Linked DNA regions of Cricetulus griseus. The protein of the gene in region 1 purifies or fractionates together with the protein of each later gene. This does not show direct contact. Links are inferred from orthologs where the notes say so. Each region holds a gene or a part of one and is shown in the gene's direction. Other genes may lie near its edges.

Region 1 (6,614 bases):
ATCTATGTTTTGCCTCAGGACTTTTTACCTTTCTTTTATTCTGTATGTCCTACTCAATGTCTGGCTGGCTGGCTGCTGCCTAGCTGGCTGACCCTAGGAGTCTCACTCTTATTCTCCCTCATTCTCTTCTCTTTTGTCTCTCTAGCCTGGATTCCTCCTCCTATTCTCTCTGCCTGCCTGCCAGCTAGCCAGCCATGCCTAACCTTTCTCAGCCTAGCTATTGGCCATTCAGGTGCCTTTTATTAAACCAATCAGGTGCCTTAGGCAGGCAGCCTGACATGTTAAACAAATGCAGCATAAACAAATGCAACACATCTTTACATAGTTAAATATTCCACAACACTTCAAAGCCTGCCCCCATAACACACATCTCCTCCAACAAGATGACACCTCTTAATCATTCCTAAATAGTTCCACCAACTGGAGACTGAATGTTCAAACATATGAGCCTATGGGGAATTCTCAAAGAATAACACTGACTTTGCCTTGTTAGTTTTCTCAACTCACAAATGCCAGATGTAAAAGCATATTGAGATGCCAAGTCCAAATTACCTCTTCCATCCTGTAGCAAACTAGAGTTGAAGGCAACTGAGCAGAATCATATATAAGAAAAACTCCTGCCCTCCCACTGTTTGCATAAAAACAGGATACAGGTTTTTCAAGGTATCCTCCCTCCCCTTTCTACCAAATAATACAGAAGCTAATCATCTGGAAGAATTTTAGATCTTTATCAGCCCAGACGTGGAAAGATTTTATACACTACTAGACTATGTCTACCATGAGTCTCTCATATTTTGATTTCCTGTAACTTGTCTTTGGAAACTGAAAACTTCTGTCATTACAATAGAAGTTTATTGTTCTCTATGGATCACTGCTACATAACCCCACACTATAAACCATTTTAAGTTATTTGTCCCTGGTTGTTCATAAACTTGTGGCACACATGTTCACAAACTTTTTTTTTATGAGACAGGGCCATATGTAGCTCAGGCTGGCCTCAAACTGGGTATGTAGCCAAGGCTGGCTGTGAACTCCTGACCTTCCTTACCTTTATCTCCCAAGTGCTGGGAAACAATTCTTGGCAGCTTTCCCTGATCAGTGAGTGGGTAGACCAAGAAAAGCAGGGGGCAGGTTTTGTTCCCTTTCCCCACTTCCCTAAGGAAGTCTCTGGACTCAGTCTAGCTGTCTCTATTTCTCTGTTATCATCTCCCCCTCTTTTAACCCTTGCTAGGGATTAAACCCAGGGTCTCTTGCATATCAGGATGTCAGGCTGCCAGGTGAGCGCACTACCACTGAGCAGTTCTTATTCTTCACCTATCTAGTTTCTTTTTTTTTTTTTTTTTAAGATTTTATTTACTTATTATGTATACAACATTCTGCTTCCGTGTATATCTGCACACCAGGAGAGGGCACCAAATCCCATAACGGATGGTTGTGAGCCACCATGTGGTTGCCGGGAATTGAACTCAGGACCTCTGGAAGAGCAGTCAGTGCTCTTAACCTCTGAGCCATCTCTCCACGCCCCACCTATCTAGTTTCTAGAGTACCTTCAGATTACTGGTTTTTTGTTTTGTTTTGTTTTGTTTTTTGTTTTTTTTTTGTCAAGTAGGTACAGATGACGAAACCCGAATTTTCTGGTACTTCCCATACAGTGGGTAAATGGTTTCTTTATGAAAACTTCAACAATTCCTAAATCCCCTAGGCTAAAGGTTGCTGTGGAGTTGCCCTTCTGGATCTGCCCTCTAAGAGTATCCTGAGCTCTATGGTGAGTGAGTATCTTGCCACAGAAACTCCCTAGTTGCCAGGCAGAAACGCACCTGAGTGTTTTCCAGGTCAGAAACTAAAGACTGGGCAAGAACAGAGTTCTGAGCGCTTGCTTCTCCCGAGGAACCAGTTCCTCTGCAATTCTGAGATACCCACAAAGGCTGCAATGCCTCTTTGATAATTAACTCGTTCAGGAAGAACTCATTGAGCTGGGGACAAGTTCTTACATGGGATTGTGGGCAGGGAACCATAAAAAAGTTCTAGTGCCAAAATCAGAAGGAAAAAAGTCACAAAGAGATAAGATCCGGGGATACCAAATGGAGTTTTACTCCTTAAAAGTCTCTGAGGCCTGAGCCTTTTGGTCCTTGCGCCAGGACGCAGACTTTGAGCCGATGAGGCAGCCTGATGGAGCTTCCCATCAAGGCGGTCACAAGGTGACTCCTACACACAGCACAGTCTCTTTCCTCTGCCCATCTCCAAGATGGCGACCTCGCGACTGCCGCCCCCCCCGCCCCCGTCTCTACCCGCCTCCAAAATGGCCGCCGCGCCCCGCCCACCCGCTCCCCTCCGGGACTGCGCAGCACGCTCCCGTCGCCCCTCCCTCTCGAGCTCCACCCAGGTCGCTGGCAGCGCGGTCGGTGGCCGCGATTTCCCGCCATTGTGAGAAGCGGAGGTTGGGACCGTCAAGCCGCCCCTGTCGCTGGCCAGCAGCAGCTCTGAGGCGCTCGTCACCGCCGCAGCCTCTCCTGGCGGCCCGCGACTCGCGACGCCCCGCGCGTGGGAGGGCGCGAACGAGCCCCCGAGGAGCAGCCGGCTTCCGAGCGCGCTCGGCCCACGGAGCAGCGCCGCACCGGCCGCGCTGGCCCCGGCTTTCAGCGCCATGCCCTGTGGAGAAGACTGGCTGAGCCACCCGCTCGGGATCGTGCAAGGCTTCTTCGGTGAGCGGCGCGCGGCGAGCAGGGCCGGGAGGGGAGCCGAGTTCGCGTGGCCGGGCCTGTCGCGCGGCCGCACTCGCAGAGATGACCGCCGAGGGCTCGCGTGGCCCCGGGCCTGGCAGCCGAGCCGGAACAGCCCCTTTCGGGTCGCAGCCGCAGGTGCCGCCACCTGCCCTCTGCCCGGCTCCGGCGCGCAGGCGGCGGGGACGCAGCTGCGAGTGCTGGCTGTGATTGACGGCCTGGCTCCTGGCTGGTGGCCTACCTAGCCCGGGCGCTGCAGACACGGGGAGGTCCCCTTGCCCACCGAGGGCCCTGAGAGCGGCGGCGGCGGGAAGCCTGCCTGTGGGAGCCTGCAGGAGATTTCAAAACTTCCGGTGTGTGGGGGGTGGGGTGGGGTCCATCGCACAGAAGTTCGCTCTGCGGGCGTTTCCACACGACCCCCTTGAGATGGGTGGCAATGCCATATTTTTCTCCTCTGTTGACTTCAGAAACCGCCTGCTTTGTTACCTGCTCCCGTGCCGGGGCTAGCGAGAAATAGCTGTTTACATGAGTTTCTATAGAGCACGAGCCGATAGTGCTGTAGGCAAGCTAAGTAAAATTTTAGTTGTCATCGTCATCGTTCCTTTTTTTAGTTAACTAGACCTTCCTATTCCCACTCTCATCTCTGATTTCTTTGAGCCTAGTGACAACGGAGTCGGACTTTATTAGAAACCACTGATAGATCCGCTGCACCTGACTTGCATGGAATTAAAGGGTTGTGGAATTCTCTCAGCTCGAATAAAACAGGGGACAGAAGGGTATTTCATTGGAGAGTCCATAGTTAGCATGTGCAAGGCCCTGGGTTCCCTCCCTAACACACACACACACACACACACACACACACACACACGTACATACGTACGTACGTACATACGTACGTACGTTAGGGAAGAGTTAGTAAGAAGCTGGAGTCCTCAGCAGCCCATAACCGACGTTGTGAAATATATTCTTTTGTTCTGGCGGGGACTCATTGTATAGCCCAGGCTAGTTGTGTCAGTTCAGTCTCCTACGTGCTGGGGGTCACAGGTGTGAGCCACCATTCTCCGTGGAATGTGTAGTAGGGCCTTAATGCTTCCATAGCAACTATTCATTTTGCCTAGAATTCTAATTATGTTGTTTCCCAGGGTGAAACTAAAGCCAGCAGATAGAAGTACTGTAGTCAGTGAACACAAAATCTGATGAAGAAGGGGAGGGGATGGATGCTCATGCCCACAAAATAATAAAACATGGGCTTGGGATATAGCTCAGTAGTAGAATGCCTGCCTGACCTGCTGACTGGTTTGGGTACAGTGCAGGTGGAATGAAACAGATTCATATGCAGTAATTTAGGGTGGTTTTCAAAGGGAATAGGCAGCTTTCCTATGATTCTGTCACTTGGAAGGCTGAAGCATAATTGCTAGTTTCAGACTAGCCTATACCGTGAGAGCCTGTCTCTAAAGGGGTGTGTATGTGCTCTGTTCCTTCACTAAATACTAGTAATTGAAGCTTAAAACAGTGGACCCAACAATTGGTGTTGAATAATAATGACTCCCAAATGTCAAGTGAAGATTCAATTCCACATTGGCTGAAGGTGCAAATGCATAGGTACATTTTAGGAAAAATCCTTCCATTGTTAAAGGTTTGGGACTTTAAAGGGTTAAATTCCCATGACTGATATTAGAATTTTTTTCTCATTTCTTTGAGATGGGATCTTTAGGCCAGGCTGGCCTGGGGCTCATGGAAGTCCTCCTGCCTCAGCCTATGGATTGCTGGGATCACAGGCATGTGCCACCTTGCACAGCCAGAATATCCATTTATGAGAACTATCTCAGTACCCTGGACTTGCTGTAGTAATAAAGTGGTTTTAAATATGATAAGATTGGATGGTGTTTGGTTTGTGTTTGATTGTCTTTTTGGTGCTGGGGATTGAACCCAGAATAGGCATGTGCTCTACCACTGAAGCTGTAGCCTCTGCCCCAGGGAATTGTTTTAATTCTTGGGTTTTCTCTTCAGATAGAAAGATAATTGGTGTCTGTTTTTTTGTTCTGTTTTTTCTTAAGTGGGGACTCTTTAAGAAAGGAAATCTGAAGGGCCTCTGTCTTGTTTAGGGTGACCAGTTTGGTTTATTATGGTTGTCTACTCTTTATTTTGGCTGTGTTGGGATTGAACCTAGGGCCTCAAGTGTGCTGGGTAAGTACTCTACCAGTGAGCCATACCCCTATTTTCTTTGCATGGAGTTAGTTTGTTACAGTACTAGATATTACTGAGTCGAATCCAGTCCTTAGCTTTTTGAGCTAGTGTCTCCCTTGTAGCCTAGGGTTCTGAGCTTGTCATTCTCCTGTCCCCAATTTCTGGGATTACAGCTGTGGGTTATTATACCCTGCTCTATAGTTTCTTCTTCTTCTTTTTTTTTTTTTTTTTTTTTTCGAGACAGGGTTTCCCTGTGGTTTTGGAGGCTGTCCTGGAACTAGCTCTTGTAGACCAGGCTGGTCTCGAACTCAGAGATCTGCCTGCCTCTGCCTCCCGAGTGCTGGGATTAAAGGCGTGCGCCACCACCGCCTGGCACTCTATAGTTTCTTAAAACTGGAAAATGTGATGTTGTTCATATTGTCCTGAAATATGTATCTCTTAATATGTCTTGAACATCTTCCTATCTTAGGGAATTTATTTTACCATTCTGAATGTCCCTGTTGTATATTGTTCCACAAGTTTATTATCCCGTCTCATATTTTAAGATAGGTGACTAATCTAGAACTGTGTTGCCTGATACAGCAGCCGCTTACTTGAATTAGTTAAAATTACACAGAATTAAAGGTTAAGTTCCTTGTTGTTACTACATTTCAAATGCTCATTAGCTACATGTGGGCAGAGACTGTAAGAGGCAGCAGAGTTGTAGAATATTAAAAGCCTTATTTTTACGCGTGTGTGTGTGTGTGTGTGTGTGTGTGTGTGTGTGTGTGTGGAGTGTGGGTATGTGCATGTGAGTAGAGTTGCCCTTAGAAGTCAGAGGTGTTGTGTTGGGACCCCCCACACACACACACACACAAAACAAACTGGAGTTACAGGCTGTTGTGAGCCTCCCATGGGTGTTGGGAACCAAACTCGGGGAGCAGTTCTCCATCTTAACTACAGAACTACCTCCCTAGCCCCACGCCTGTGCTTTTAGGTGGGATCTTGCTGTGAGGTACAGGATAGCCTTGAACTCACTATGTAGCTCAGGCTGACCACAGGCTTAATCTTCTGCCTCATCACCTAAATGCTGGTATTACAGGCATGTGCCTCCACACCCAGTTTCTGTCAGTATATTGTATCAGCTTGAGTTATTAAATATTTCTTGTGCCACCACACCCAACTTCTTTCAGTGTATTCTATCAGCTTTAGATTTATTAAATATCTCTTCACCCTGTCCAGAAGTCTTCATCTTCAACACTGATGTCCTAGCCCAGGATCTGTGGTCAGTTTTTGGGTGTCTGTGACAGCCTCCTTTCTTGTTTCTAGTATAGCTTCTCTCCTGCACTTTCTGTGCTGGAACCAGTAGCTTTCAGTTGCTTCTAGACTCCCTCCTCCCCCAGTTTTAGTTTCATTAGGTAGTCCTAGGCTGCCCTTGAATTCTCCATCCTTCTACCTCAGCCTCTGGAGTGCAGAGATTACAAGCATACTCCACTGCATCCAACTCCTGTTGACCTTAGTATACTGTGACCTTAATATCTGATCTAGTCATTTTTTCTTTCTCTGGCACTTATTATCTAACCCAGACAGGTCTTGAACCTTCCAATTTCTGGGATTACAGGCATGTACCATCACTTCTGGGTTTTATCTGTGTGTCTTCTGAGGTGTTTTACATCTACTTGTGTGTTTCTCTTTGAGTATATATGTATAGGTGCCCTGGAATGCCTG
Region 2 (6,128 bases), on another chromosome or scaffold:
TGGTGTTCAGTGTCATCTTTACTGGTGTAGACTTCAGGTAGCTCCCAAGTCCCCACTTAGGACTTTTGAATACCTTCATGTTGACCTCCTCTCACAAAGTAGTGTCCCCACCGTCAGTAACTGCTTCACAAATGCAATAGTCAGTGGTCACTAATGCTCTATTGGTGGACACAGCTGTCTTAGGGTTTGCATTGCTGTGAAGAGACACTGTGACCATGACAACTCTTAGAAAGGAAGTACTTCATTGAGGTGGCTCGATTACAGTTTCAGAGTTCCATCCATTATCGTCGTGAAGGGGAGCATGGCAGCGTGCAGGCAGGTGTGGTGCAGGAACTGAGTGTGCTACATCTTGTAGGCAACAGGAAGTTGACTGACTGTCATACTGTGTGAAGCTTGAGAAGAGAGACCTCATAGTCTACCCCTCCAGTGACACACTTCCTCCAACAAGGCCACACCTCCTAATGGTGCCACTCCCTTTGGGGGCCGTGTTTTTCAAACAATAGCAGGTGCATTTTCCTTGTCCAGAAACCTTTATAACCTAGAAGACCATCCTACAGCCGAAAATCAGAAAGAAGTATGTGGCACCATAGGATCAGAACTCAGAAATGAGCTCATGTGATAGTCCTTAAGTACCCCAAGTCCTTGACACAGCTGCAGGCCCCATTGCTGAGCCTGCCTGCATTCTGACTTATCTCTCTTTCCAGCTACCCTGAGTCCTGAGCTGGCTGTCCCTTAGATTGAGGCCAGTCTTACTCTCACTGAAGATCACCCCTTCTACCAGTTATTATAGGTTCTCTTGAAAAGGTCTCCTCTGTAGCCTAGCTTTGAACTTAGTGGTGATCCTTCTGCCACAGATGCCTGAGTGCTGGGATTATAGTTTACCTCCCGTGCCCAGCCTGAGTTCTAAATGAAACTTTTCCTCTTTGTGGCTCCTTCCTGGCAGCTTTGGAAATCCAAGCTTGCTGTAAATAAAACTAAGAGCCTGCAGAAAGGGACCCTGGGTGTCCTAGGTCCATATTGACCTTATGATTCTTACAGGCTCCTAATAGGTTGTAGGTGAAATCTGAGACTAGTGAATGAAAGGCAGACGTTGGTAGCACAGATTGTGAATTCAGCTGTTCTGAAACATTTTGAGTTGTGTAGCTCTTTTTTATATGTCATGATTGCTCTTCAGGAAGACCAGGGAATTTACCAGAACAAAGTTCGGGAGCTGATCAGTGACAACCAGTACCGGCTGATTGTCAGTGTGAATGACCTGCGCAGGAAGAATGAAAAGAGGGCTAACCGGTGAGTGATGACAGGGTTTTGCGGGGAACACTCTGCCTTGGGGTGAGAAAGGCATCACCTTGTTTAGACTGGAACAGGCTTCCCTGGGAAAGATCTGGATTGCATGGCTGTCACCATCTCAAGTGCTCCAATCTTCCAGTGTTCTTCTGAGTATCACTCTTACATCTTTGAATTGAAGTGACCTTCGATTCTGATGTATTTACTGTGTCTTACACAGTGGCAGGACAAAGTAGAAATGGGATCTTCTTTCACTGATCTTAATGGCGTAAGACTGTTTCTTCTTGATTTGAGGGTCAGTTTCCTGAACTCTGCCTAATGGTTCTTTGTCTTGATCTTACGCAGCCTCCTGAACAATGCTTTTGAGGAGCTGGTTGCCTTCCAGCGGGCCTTGAAGGACTTTGTGGCCTCCATTGATGCTACCTATGCCAAACAGTATGAGGAGTTCTACATAGGACTGGAGGGCAGCTTCGGCTCAAAGCACGTTTCTCCCCGGACTCTCACGTCTTGCTTTCTCAGCTGTGTGGTCTGTGTGGAAGGCATTGTTACTAAATGTGAGTGGGTTAAAGGTGGTGCCAGGATCCTAAGGAGTTAGAGGATAGAGATTTAGGAGGTCTTGAAACTGGAAGAATTGTAGTGGGTCTGGGGAACATGTCATTTCAGAGAAGTGAAGCACTGAAATTAAAATAGTAAAATTAGGGGACAGCAATTAGGGGGAACTGGAAGTGACCACCAGCTGTAGCAGGATGATGTATTTCTGAAGCTGGAAGAGTCCTGCTCTTCCAATATTATTGCAACCCAAAACTTTCCCTTAATTGACATCAGTGGTACTTCAGATTTTACATGGATTCACTGATACCCTATGTGTAAATGTAAGAGGGATAAATGACAAATATTGCTGAAATAGGTAACCTAATTGGGGAAATACAGTATTTAAGTCCCTCCTTTGTCATTGTGTCATTGGGTGACTTTATATACAGTACACCTTTGCATTCCTAGGTTCTCTAGTTCGTCCCAAAGTTGTTCGAAGTGTTCACTACTGCCCCGCTACGAAAAAGACCATAGAGCGGCGCTACTCTGATCTCACTACCCTGGTGGCTTTCCCGTCAAGTTCTGTTTATCCCACGAAGGTGAGGACCTGAATCGGTTGGGCTTCCTTGGCAGCTCGAATTAAAGAAGACTGTTTTAATTCTAGTAGTTGTATATTAATCTGGTGTCTTTGTTCTAAAAGTAGATAATATGAGATAAGGATTAATTCTGAAGAGAGAGATGGGGTACGAGATAAAGTTGAATATGGGCCCCCCCTTTTTTTTTTGTACTAAAGTTATGGTGTAAAAAGTTGGCTTACTGGGTAGGAATACTTATTCTGCAAGCAAGAGGACCTAGGTTCAGATCTCTAGTACCCAAGTAAAGGGTTGGTGTACCTTTGTATGCCTGCTAACCCAGCTGTCTTTGGAGAAGAGAGATAGGTGGATCCTAAAATCTCACTTGCTGACTGACTAGCCTAGCTGGAACGAAGATACCTGATGTCATACCTCATCTCCATATGCATGAGTGTGTGCATCTACACAGGTGTGTGCACCACACACAGAGAATGAAATTTAGAAAAGTTGAGCTATAGAAGGCCAAAAAGGAGAAACATTGGATGACAGGTATTTTAACAGAGTTGTAATCATAGTTATGTAACGTGCTTTCTAAAAGTAAAATGGCAAATGCCTCTATTAGGTGATGATATTGTGTAATCTTTGCAGCTGTTTCAGTGCATTTGGGAAAAGCCAGTAAAAGGCTTTCTTGATAGTGTTCAGGGTGAGAACAGTTGAAGATAACTTTCTTAGTGAGACAGGAGGTCATAAACATTGATTGCTGATGTCTATACTCATTTAGTCAGAGGATACCCCTTGGAAATTGTCCTTGTCTGGGAAGCAGAAAGCATTCGCTCTTATAAAGTGATGATAATTACATAAGATTGGAGCACAGTCCCTGGCACATAGTGAGCACTCAGTAAGCACGTAATGACTCTTGTGGTTTTAGGAAATTCACATATAATGGAAGCATACCTTAATGTTTTTTATGGATGCTTAATATATATTATAATGCAATATAAAGATATAATTGTAAAATATATTAATAAACTATATTGTATATATAGTTTTCACATATATAAATGAGTTTTTACAAGCAGCATGTATTCCTATAACCAGCATCTAAAGTGAGAAACAAACTTACCAGCATAGAAGTCCCTATTGAAGGCTGTGCTATCCTTGTGTCAGCAAAGCCCTGGCTTTCCTGGAACTTACTGTGTAGACCAGGCTGGCCCTGAACTCACAGAGATCCATCTGCCTCTGCCTTTGGAATGCTGTGATTAAAGGTGTGCACCACCATGCCTGGCAACCCTGGTATCTTTAATAGTAGGAAATATTTTTGCCCAAGGGTTCTCAGCCTTCCTAATGCTATAACCCTTTAATACAGTTCCTCATGTTGTGACCCCCAACCATAAAATTATTTCATTGCTACTGCATAACTGTAATTTCGCTACTGCTATGAATTGTAATGTAAATGATGGTTTTAGGTGACCCCTGTGAAAGGGTTGTTTGACCACCAAAGGGCTCACAATCCACAGGTCGTGCACCACTGTTTTTGCCTGTTTTACTATGTACGTGCTCTTGTGTTGAGCAGCTTTTGGGTAACATTGTGTGTGCTCACAAGTGTGCGTCTCAACACACAGTTTTCATTTGTGTGACTGTGCCACATGTACTTACCTATGGTCTTTAAACTTTGTCTGTGGTAGGAATGGTGCTGCTAGAACAGGTACTAAGCTTTGGGTGCATGTGTCTGTGGGGTGTTTCTTGTGGGAAGTGGAAAAACTGCTTCAGAGTTGGGCATGGTGGTACACACCTTTAATTGCAGCACTCAGGAGCCAGAGGCAGGTGGATCTCTGAGTTCCAGGCCAGAGTGGGGTCCAGGACAGCCAGGATTACACAGGGAACCTTGTCTCGAAAAAAGAAAAAAAAGAAAAAGAAAAACTGCATTAAATTATAATTCCAGATTTAGCATCAGTACAGGAAGTCAGGATTTTAATGTGGGTGTTAGTGTAGTCATGATCCCATCAGTGAAAACTGGCCCTTCCAATGGTCAGTTTGTTACTAATTCAGGAGTCAGGCTAGGAAAGCTGTAAGAGATGCATACACTTTTATTGTGATTCTAGATATTAAAGGTTCAAAATCTCTGAAAGATGTTTTCCACATTAGATGAGTGCTACATTTTTGAGACAAGACTGCAAGGACTTTTTCTGTCCTTCTTTTAGGATGAGGAGAACAACCCCCTGGAGACAGAGTATGGCCTGTCTGTCTACAAGGACCACCAGACCATTACCATCCAGGAGATGCCGGAGAAGGCCCCCGCTGGCCAGCTTCCTCGCTCTGTGGACGTCATTCTAGACGATGATCTGGTGGATAAAGTGAAACCCGGTGACAGAATACAGGTGGTGGGAACCTACCGCTGTCTTCCAGGGAAGAAGGGCGGCTACACCTCAGGGACCTTCAGGTAAAGGGGCTGCTTTGGAATGTGGGGAGCACTGGTAGCAGTTTCTGTCCTAGTGGTGCTTTGCTCCAGGTTGCCATATGCAAGCACTAACTGGTGCATGATGTGTACTTCCTGCCAGTAAGGTGACATGACCCTTGTACTACATCTTCTCATGTGGCACTCGGAATGTCGGCTGTCTAGGCCAACGTGGGAGTCACTAGTGACACAAATACAGCCTCATGGCCAGCCTAGGCGAGGAGTCCCAGCCACCTCCTTTGCATGCACACTTGTTTGTTGGGCATTCCATCCTCACTGTGGCTCATGGACCGAGAGCTCGGCTAGGTTCAGAAACCTCCCCTTCTCCCATGTTCTGGTTGAGTTTAATAGACCAAGAACACTTGGTGGGGCTGGGGCGTCAGCAGACTTCCTCTTCCCGTGTTGCAGGACCGTCCTGATTGCCTGTAATGTGAAGCAGATGAGCAAGGATCTGCAGCCTGCATTCTCTGCTGACGACATAGCCAAGATCAAGAAGTTCAGCAAAACACGTTCCAAGGTCAGTTAAGAGTGGGATGGCTTTGATCCTGTGTTGTGCCCTGTGTGTGGCCATCTTTGTGCTGCATCTGGAGGAAGTTGGGATTTTTTTTTTTTTTCATGAAGTATTTGTTGTTAGCATCCAGTTTTGTTCCAACTGGCAGGTTAAGGCTATTTTTGCTGTTTGATTGGTAACACTTGTTCTGTCTGCTGGGCTGCTCAGGTGAACCTAATAAAAATAAAAATGCAGGAGTTAATATCAGTGTACTATCAAGTCTTGTTTATAACTGGCCCAGTTCTCCTGTGGAGACAGTCTCATGTAGCCCAGGGTGTCCCTGAACTCCAGATCCTCCTGTATACACTACACCTGGGTTTTTATTTTTATTTTTAAATAAAAAGTATATGTTTTCTGTGGGCTCCAGAAACCCCACTGGATCTCACTATTCTTTTTCTCTGTTGGTTCTTCCTTTAGGATGTCTTTGACCAGTTGGCCCGCTCATTGGCCCCTAGCATTCATGGGCATGACTACGTGAAGAAGGCAATCCTCTGTTTGCTCCTGGGAGGGGTGGAACGAGAGCTTGAAAACGGCAGCCACATCCGTGGAGACATCAATATTCTCCTCATAGGTATGGTGCTGGGGGATGGCTCTTCCCTTGAGTGGGTTGTGAGAACATGTGTATATAGAGTTGTACCTTCTATAGCTGATCATATTTCAACTCCATCTAAGTGCAGAAGGCTAAAATGGATGTTTTTAAAAATACCCCTGAAATTCTTGATTTATACCTGGACTG

Evidence for each region.
Region 2: the proteins of Mcmbp (region 1) and Mcm3 purify together in Homo sapiens (affinity purification with mass spectrometry; 10 studies listed by BioGRID and IntAct, counting the BioPlex papers as one, with this or other methods). This does not show direct contact. The link is inferred for Cricetulus griseus from reciprocal best matches to the Homo sapiens genes MCMBP and MCM3.

Annotation. Positions count from the first base shown.
Region 1 is NC_048596.1:72,003,719-72,010,332, forward strand, and holds the start of Mcmbp (mini-chromosome maintenance complex-binding protein), read left to right. Parts: upstream 1-2,374; 5' UTR 2,375-2,644; coding exon 2,645-2,702; intron 2,703-6,614. UniProt on the Homo sapiens protein: Associated component of the MCM complex that acts as a regulator of DNA replication.
Region 2 is NW_023276807.1:25,169,596-25,175,723, forward strand, and holds part of Mcm3 (DNA replication licensing factor MCM3), read left to right. Parts: intron 1-1,174; coding exon 1,175-1,287; intron 1,288-1,629; coding exon 1,630-1,838; intron 1,839-2,283; coding exon 2,284-2,414; intron 2,415-4,588; coding exon 4,589-4,827; intron 4,828-5,250; coding exon 5,251-5,359; intron 5,360-5,809; coding exon 5,810-5,963; intron 5,964-6,128. UniProt on the Homo sapiens protein: Acts as a component of the MCM2-7 complex (MCM complex) which is the replicative helicase essential for 'once per cell cycle' DNA replication initiation and elongation in eukaryotic cells.